2 linked regions of the Oryzias latipes genome follow. The protein of the gene in region 2 purifies or fractionates together with the protein of the main gene of each other region. This does not show direct contact. Links are inferred from orthologs where the notes say so. Each region holds a gene or a part of one and is shown on either strand. Other genes may lie near its edges.

Region 1 (4,276 bases), on a different chromosome or scaffold from region 2:
TTCTCCGTCTCATCTTGCAGTTTTTCAGACTGTGGATCATCCAGGTTACAGTTCTGGATCAAAGCCAGCACGGCGTCCAAGGCCTTCACGCGCTTTCTGCTGACACAACACATTGAGCTGGAACGGGCCTCAACTCAAACTCCACACAATCCTTCAATGCTGGGAAATGTCCGGGATGCTGCCTGACGCAGAGCGGCGACCACAGCACCAATGTTCAGAATCCAGGGATTCCCGACCTACATGGAAAACTGCACATGTTCCAACCAACAGTTTTTGTTGTCCGTTTAATTCCTTAGAAGGTTGGTGTGTATTTTTACCAAAGGTTTCAAATCTGCAAGTTTAGCAGAGTCCTACAAAACCACAGAGACTGAAGGTGGATAACTTGTTCTGGATCCAGATCCAGAACCAGCAGAACTAAAATTGCGTAGTAGCCGTAAATGCCATCAGACCACTCTCGGCCTCAGCATTTCCTTACAAAAAGGTTTATGAAGTCATTGCATCTACACTGAGCCAGAACACAAGAGATCCTTCCATCTTCCTCCGCTCATCCGGGACGGGTGGCCCTTCTCCACCTCCCTGTAGCCTCACCCTTTGTCCTCTAGAATGCAACAAGACAGCAGAAGAAGCTCATGTGGAAATAAGAACTACAGTCAGAATAACCCCAAAAACAAGTGCTCTCCCACTCAATTAATGAAGAGGTTTCCTGCGCCCCCTTGTGGACAGCAATGGATTGGTCACAGATAAAAGGTTCTAGTGGAGAAAATAAAACCCGTTTGGACAAACAGAATATCACTTCAAACAGCTAGAACAAGAACCATAAGAGTTACGAAAGAGGAAATCCTTATCTGAGTTTGCTGAACCCAGAAACTCACTGCAAGTTCAGAAAAAACTCACCAAGTACAAGGGACTAAAAAACAAATAATTCTTTTATTCACACAACCCTTCCGGTGGGCGTGTTTTGTAGTAAAATCCACCTTTTTCTACTTAACAGAAGACTGGAGGCAAAAACAAAGCCTGACTATGGCGATCCTCTCTCCACTAGAATGAGCAGCTTCTTCACCATTTGCTTCGACTCTTCACCTGGACCCAACAGGAATCAGAACAGCACCAACCAACCGCATGCAGACTCACGTTACGGAAAATGTACGAGCGCGACATGAAAAAACAAACAAACCAAAGAACTCCCTGATTATCAACAGTCTGTGTGCTGCAGGAAACACTGTTCACTCGGGGGGAGGACGAGGAAAACACAATATCCGTCATGGACACGAGGGTCCAACGCAAAGAGGACGGCAGCACAACGACAACAGCACTTTGAAAACCCACACACACATACCAGCACCTGCAATGACACAACACCCCCTCTACTGTAGGGAGCAGGAGCGGGACACTCTACAGGCGTTCACAGGGTGTGTAACGCACAGAACCTAATGGGTCATTTTCATGCCCCATCATGCACCCTCATCCCTTTTATGGCCTGGCCTCCTGGTGAATGGCACAGAAGGCTGTCTTGCCTGTGGATGTGTAGCTTCTGACTCAGATGGAGGCTTCTTTAAAGGCTTGCAGCTGTTTTGAGTTGATTAAGGTGTGATTTCATGACTTTCCTACTTTAAATTCTTTAAAAAAAAATGATTCTTAGTTTTGAGGCTCTGTAGATATTTTAGAATAAAGGGTTGGTTTTAATTTACTTTTTTTGTCTGTTTGGTTTAACTGTAAAGCTATGAGTTGTTCAAAGCGTGAAAAGAGCCTTTTGATGAATAACGCTTGATTTGGATTCACATGAACGCTCAACACGACTGTGACTCATAAACGTCTTGTAGTTCCTGAAACACCCCGAGCAACGTACCTTGACTTGTCATCTGTGCTTTGCTGGAGGAGACACTTCCATGTGACGGCAAAACCGTAATAGAAGGAGATCTGTGGCATGAGACGATCCAATCAGGACGTGGTGCAGCTGAGTAAGGCTGGACAGACGGTCACGGGGACCGAAAACTGGACTCACCTCAGAGGACAGCTTGGCTCCATGGGAGGCTCCGTGTCGGCGGCCGTCCTGCAGACCACGGCGAGTCCCCTTCTCAAAACCCTCCTGGTAACCTTCACCTCGAAACCTGGAGAACAGTCAGCAGAAAACCCTACATTACTCCCATGACATCCTGGGATTTGAACCACAGCTTTCCAAAAAAATAAATGAACCACAAAAGAAAAACAATAATAAATGCTGTTCTTTTATTGACTGGAGTTTTCTGCAGGAAATTTAAAATAAAAGGAGGAGAGGAGGGACAGAAAGCAAATTAAAAATAACAGCGTTAATGAAGACGGTCATGATCCCCGTGCAGCGGAACCCACATCCGGTGTTAGACCGGAACCCGGTGAGGGGACTTCACCAGATGTTGTCCAGAAACGCACTGATGGGGAGCATCCTAATTCTTTTACTACCAAAATGTGGCGTTTACCCGGTAACCACACGGTTAACTTAAGCGCATGCGCAAAGCACACCCGATCGTGAAAAGTTTTACCGGTCGAAAAACAAACACATTCTGACGATTTTTAGAAATGCTTTTTGTTTCTATTCAACATCTTACGACAGAAAAAAAGGCAAAAACGGTTTAAATAGAAAACATCGTGAAAATAACATAAAAGAGAACAGAAAATGTAACAATAAAGGTATAAATGTTACACTGACGACGTTTCTAAGCCGTCAAGCGCGTGCCCCACCAATAAAACAACGTTTATACAGAAAACTTGCTTTTCATCGGCTAAAATGATGCTGTCAAACAGATCATCCGCTGGGTGGACGCCAGGCATCTCCATTCTGCAGCCAACTAAAGAGCTGACGGCAGGAGATCCTCGCAGCTGCTCTTCTTCTATGTCAACACAGTGTGTTCACTATGGACGTACAGAGCAGCACTGCCCCCTACCGGACAGCGGGACTCACTGCATGCAAACACACGAACAGTGTTTGGAGTCAATCTGTAATACAAGTTTGCCCGTTAGAGACCATTGTAAAATGTCTCAATTAAGATAGAATAGAACAGAATATACCCCACAAAGGAGAAATGATCTAGCTCTAATTAAAAGAACGCAGATAAATAATAACACTGAAACATGATACTAAAACAATAAAAACAATAATTATGTCCAGTGCCCAGTGGCGCCTCCAGAAAGTTTTCATGGGGGTGGCCGGTAGGGGGCCACATTAAATCTTGGGTGGCACACAAAAACCATGAGCTGCATTTTTAAAATTCATTCTACTAAACGTAGTAAAACAACCCTTAGAAAACCAACAGAAAGTTAAATGCCTACTGATTTTTTTCTAGAACATTGACTTATAGTTGATACTACTATAGATTCTAGTAGATGTCATTAGGCCAGTGTTTTTCAACCTTTTTTGAGCCACGGCAGACTTTAACCTTGACAAAAATCCTGCGGCACACCAGCAAAAAAAATTTTTCAATTTAAAAAAAAAAAGGAGAAACTCATAGTCTATATTGATCTAAAGTCCTTCTGCAATCTCACATGCATTTTGTGACAATTGTGGCAGAAAAATCTGATGAAATAAAAGTTAAGTTAAAAGATTCAAAAACTGTTTGATGTGTGTTCGTTGTTGTTACAAGACGTTTAGAGGAGAGACTCACTTTGCGCTGAGACGCTGTCACTTTAACCCAATGCATCATGGGAGATGTAAACAGCCGCCAAGCGCAGAAAGACTAGCGTCTCTGAGCTTCCTTCTTTTCTTCACTTGTTCCACGGTCTGATACCAGATTCAGTGGAAAGATACACCGCTAAAGACAAGCTTTAGCTGGTATTTTTGTTGGAACCGAGCGACTTTATGAGCAGAATCAGAACAAGGAATTGAAGACTTTAACGACTTCTGATTGGTCAGACTGATGACATGTGATTAAGCCTCCAAGAATGATTGGTGGAGACAGTTAAAGGGGCGGGACTTTACAGAAAACAGTTAATACTGCAGATAAGAAGTATTTTACGATCTTTCATATTCCTAACTACTCAGTGTTTTATCAGGGCCTGATTGGATGAACACAGAGCTGATATCCTGGAGATGGAAAATGTTTTTAGATCAGTTACCGTAATGACAGTAATTTCCCACGGCACACTGGTGCGCTGCGGCACACTGGTTGAAAAACACTGCATTAATTCTAACTTCACCAGTTGGTCCAGGAACAGGTGGAAGACTTTTTGCTGAGTTCTGCCTTGTTTCTCTGACCAATCATGCTGACTGACCCTCCTCATCAGATGCCGTCTCATCTTTGTCTTC
Region 2 (4,138 bases):
GTGCAGGGGTCCCCAAATCCAGGCCTGGTAGGCCAGTGTCCTACATGTATTCCAACCAACCTGCCATTGAAGCGCCTCATTGGCTAAACACACCTGGTCCAGGTAATCAGCAGCAAGTAAGGCAGGGTTGCTGGAAAACCAGCAGGCCACTGGCCCTCGAGGCCTGGATTTGGGGACCCTTGGTCTAGATGACCCTACTACCAATCTTAAAGTGCCTAGGATAGCACAAGGGTTAACCCCCCCCCCCTTCCCATTCTGTCTTGATTGACAGTTGACCAATCAATCATCAGTTCCAGGAAAGGGGTGTGTACAAATCGCTCTGCCTCCAGATCATTGACTGTATTGGAGAACAGGATGAGCGAGACGTCGAAAACGGTTTCCTTATGGCTCCGACCAAACGAAGTCCATTCAGTTGCCATTTTATCGATTTGGATGCCGCCAGACAACATCAGAGTTGGTCAACGTTTCTATGGCAACCACTCTCACCAATCACTAGTGAACTCATTGGAAGGCCACACCCCTACCACTTGATAAGTCAGGAAACTGTGGTTTCTGGTGATTTTTGTTTTGCTTTTGTCTAAATGTTTGTGCAGAGAAGAGGCCAAAGGTCGGGAAGCATCCATTTATTATCGATGTAAATGTGTGGATGATCCTTGATGGGGCCGCCTCCCGGACGGACGCCCCCCCCCCCGTGGACAGGATGTGATAATGCACTTCTTCATGTTACACGTCACAACAATGCTGGCTATGAACGGCCCGGAACACGAAAGGCTGATGGGTTTCTGTTCCGGCGCGGCGCCGGACGTTCAGGAGCAGTCGCGGTTGGTCACATGGGACGGGGTCTTAGTCGTCCAGGAAGAAATAGTTCCCGCTCTTTTTCTGTTCCGTGTCCTAGATGAAACAAAAGACATTTAGCATCGTGTGGAGAAACGAACCGTGGATCCCGCCGGGCGCCAACCTTGATGGAGTTGAGCTTGTTGATGCGCGGCCTAAAGTTGTTGGGGTCCCTCCTGAAGGTGATCTCCAGCAGCGACAGGAAGCGGTTCATCCCCGCCAGCAGACCCTGAGGCCTGACGGAGAAAAGACACGGCCGTTAGACGGCGACCATCCGGACGTTAGCGCGCCGCGCGGACGATCCTCACGTGTTAGCCAGCGTCTCCCTGGAGGGAATGCCGTCGAACACGATGACTCTGTCGGCGAGGTACGTCGCCATGATGAAGTCGTGCTCCACCACAAACGCCGTCTTCTTGGCGTGGAGGATGTACCTGCCGACAAACGTCAGATCAGAAACGGCGCCCCACACAGGCCGGGCTGCGCAACTGCAGGTTCTTAAAAACTTTGAAGCTTCGTTCTAACAACAGGGACACCTGGTGGCCAACTGAAGCCGTAGCTCGACTGAAGCAGTACAGAAAACACAAAAGACGACAAATGATGCCGTTTTTCTGGACATTTTTAAAGAAATTAAAATTTAAACAAAAGTAAAAGAATTCTGATTGGAAAGAAAACAAGTAGAATTTACAACAACCTTAAAAGCAACTTTAGATGAAATACGGCCCTCACATTGACAACTGAAGTTATAATTTAAGGCGACACCAGTTTGACATTTTAGAGATTTAAAATTATATTTTTTTGTTTTTCTTCAGTATAATTTGGTGTTTTTCCAGTAAATTACAACCGAAAACACTGAAAACTCTGACATCCTTTCATTTCCTCGGTCTATAGAAGAGAAGCTCCACCTCTTGATGACTCTGGCCGCCATCAACCTCTGCTCGGAGTCCAGGTACGCCGACGGCTCGTCGACCAGGTAAACATCGGCCGGCTTCCCCAGACAGAGCGTGAGGGCGACTCGCTGCAGCTCACCGCCGGAGAGGTTCTGCACCTGCAGGGGGGGAGGGGTTTCCCGTTTAGAAGCGCCTCAGAGCAGCGGTGCGGCGTCGGCATCAGAGCGCCTTACGTCCTGGTCGATGATGCTCTCGATCTGCATGGGCTTCATCACGTCGGTGATGAACTGCGGGTGCGTGTACGCGTCCCGGATCTTCTCGTGTAGCAGCGCCCGGACGCTGCCCTGTGGACAAACACACCGGCGTCGGCACCTCTGAGACGACCACGCAAGTAACCGACTGAGCGGCTCTCACCTTGAACTTGGGGCTGATGGTCTGAGGCTTGTAGCTCACGTTCAGGATGGGAACCTCGCCTAGGAGACAGAGCGCAGGTCAGAGCGCGCCTGCGCGGCTTAGAGCCTGTCTGCGCGGCTCAGTCTGTGAGCACACTCACCTCCACTGTCGGGTTTGAGTCCGCCGGCCAACATCCGGATGAAGGTGGTCTTCCCCGTTCCTGCAAACATCATGTAAGATCCAGAGGACCAATAGGAACAGAACCAGAACCGCGGCAGCCTCAGAGACTCCCCCCACAGTGCGTTTGGCTACATTTTCTGTGTCTGTGGTTCAGTGGGTTAAACACCGTCTATGTTGGTCTAAAGTTTGAGTCCCAAACTGGTCACTCAGGAAGATGCTCCTCATGTTACTTTGTAAGCATTAGGTAACCATCCCATTAGTTTACTTGTAAAAGAATCCTGCTTTTAGAAGGTATTGTGTTTTAGAGTGAATTTAGACGCCATTTTACTCCTGTGAGTTCTCCATGACTCCGCCTATTCCATAAATCAGCATGTTTTGCTTCATTTATCTGGTCTTTGAGGAGTCGTCTGCGTGTTAAACAGCCGCTGAACGGCCCTCAATGAGGATGAACCCTGAACTCCAAAGCCGCTGACGCGCCGACTTCTATTTATGTAAACAAAATGCTTTTTAAAGTGACGATAGCTCCGCCTCCAAACTTCATGCACTCAGAAACGAGTTGCTGCTTCAGAAGCTGAGTGGTTGGAGTCAGAAAGTTGTGGTTCTTGGCTCAGAAGCTGCCGAAAAAACCGGGCGGCTCACCATTCTCTCCCAGCATCACCATGATCTCGGAGTCCGTGAACTCTCCCCCTTTGATGGCCAGCGTGAACTCGCCCATCGTCTTCACCATGTCTGGATACTGAACGCCAGAACAGAGGCAGAAAATTAATGAAATGTCATGTTCACATTCAGCACAGAGTTAGAGGTTTGGGGGCTTATCCGGGATATCAACGACAGTTTTTGGGGGCTTGTCCGGGATATCAGCAACAGTTTTTAGGGGCTTGTCCGGGATAATAACAACAATTTTTGGGGGGCTTGTCCGGGATATCAAGAACAGTTTTGGGGGGCTTGTCCGGGATATCAACAACAGTTTTTAGGGGCTTGTCCGGGATATCAGCAACAGTTTTTGGGGGGGCTTGTCCGGGATAATAACAATTTTTGGGAGGCTTGTCCGGGATATCAACAACAAAAGAAAAATTCAAATCTCACATACCTGGTAGTGTCTGAGTCTTTTCACTTCCTCTTCATTGGCCGTTTCTGCCACCTTAAAGACCAATGAGGTTTCCCGAAACCTGAGGTTCTCTGTGGGAACGTAGCCGTCCAGGAAGATGTTGATACCTGCAAGAGAAGCGGAGTGAATGAGCGAATCGGACACTTTGCAGCCGTGGCTTTCACTCCTCCGCTGTCTGAGTTAAGCTTGACCTTCTCGGACGCTGAAGGGCATGGTCACGACCCCGTAGGCGCTGGGGACTCCGTACAGACAGCAGATGAAGTCGGACAGGTAGTCCAACACGCTCAGGTCGTGCTCCACCACAATGATGTACCTGAGATGGAACAGGACGTTGAAGAACAAGAAAAGGATCCAGGAGAAAAGGCGGCGGCTGGTTCCTCACCTGTCTGGGGTGATGAGGGAGCGGATGGTGATGGCAGCCTTCAGCCTCTGCTTCACATCCAGGTAACTGGACGGCTCATCAAACATGAAACTGCGGCAGAAGAGCGGAGGCCGTGAGATCAAAGCAAAGAGCGGGAAAATGAGGATGAAACCAGGAACTCACATGTCGGCCCTCTGGATGCAGACGACGGCGCAGGCAAACCTCTGCAGCTCTCCTCCGGACAGGTCCTCCACGTTCCTCTCCCGCAGGTGACTCAGATCTGCAGCAGCAACAGACTTACAACGTCAACCGACGAAGAACCGCCAGACGCTCCCCAGAACAGGCGTTCATCGTTACCCAGCTGTTGGCAGACGA

The links.
Region 1: the proteins of abce1 (region 2) and oraov1 purify together in Homo sapiens (affinity purification with mass spectrometry; 4 studies listed by BioGRID and IntAct, with this or other methods). This does not show direct contact. The link is inferred for Oryzias latipes from reciprocal best matches to the Homo sapiens genes ABCE1 and LTO1.

What each region holds. Positions count from the first base shown.
Region 1 is NC_019861.2:4,835,120-4,839,395, reverse strand, and holds the start of oraov1 (oral cancer-overexpressed protein 1), read right to left. Parts: upstream 2,893-4,276; 5' UTR 2,812-2,892; coding exon 2,684-2,811; intron 2,109-2,683; coding exon 2,003-2,108; intron 1,918-2,002; coding exon 1,847-1,917; intron 100-1,846; coding exon 1-99. UniProt on the Homo sapiens protein: The complex LTO1:YAE1 functions as a target specific adapter that probably recruits apo-ABCE1 to the cytosolic iron-sulfur protein assembly (CIA) complex machinery. May be required for biogenesis of the large ribosomal subunit and initiation of translation.
Region 2 is NC_019876.2:3,198,241-3,202,378, reverse strand, and holds the end of abce1 (ATP-binding cassette sub-family E member 1), read right to left. Parts: coding exon 4,121-4,138; intron 4,044-4,120; coding exon 3,947-4,043; intron 3,875-3,946; coding exon 3,785-3,874; intron 3,716-3,784; coding exon 3,594-3,715; intron 3,510-3,593; coding exon 3,385-3,509; intron 3,031-3,384; coding exon 2,934-3,030; intron 2,335-2,933; coding exon 2,275-2,334; intron 2,195-2,274; coding exon 2,136-2,194; intron 2,066-2,135; coding exon 1,955-2,065; intron 1,880-1,954; coding exon 1,737-1,879; intron 1,266-1,736; coding exon 1,143-1,265; intron 1,071-1,142; coding exon 959-1,070; intron 892-958; coding exon 844-891; 3' UTR 609-843; downstream 1-608. UniProt on the Homo sapiens protein: Nucleoside-triphosphatase (NTPase) involved in ribosome recycling by mediating ribosome disassembly. Able to hydrolyze ATP, GTP, UTP and CTP. Splits ribosomes into free 60S subunits and tRNA- and mRNA-bound 40S subunits.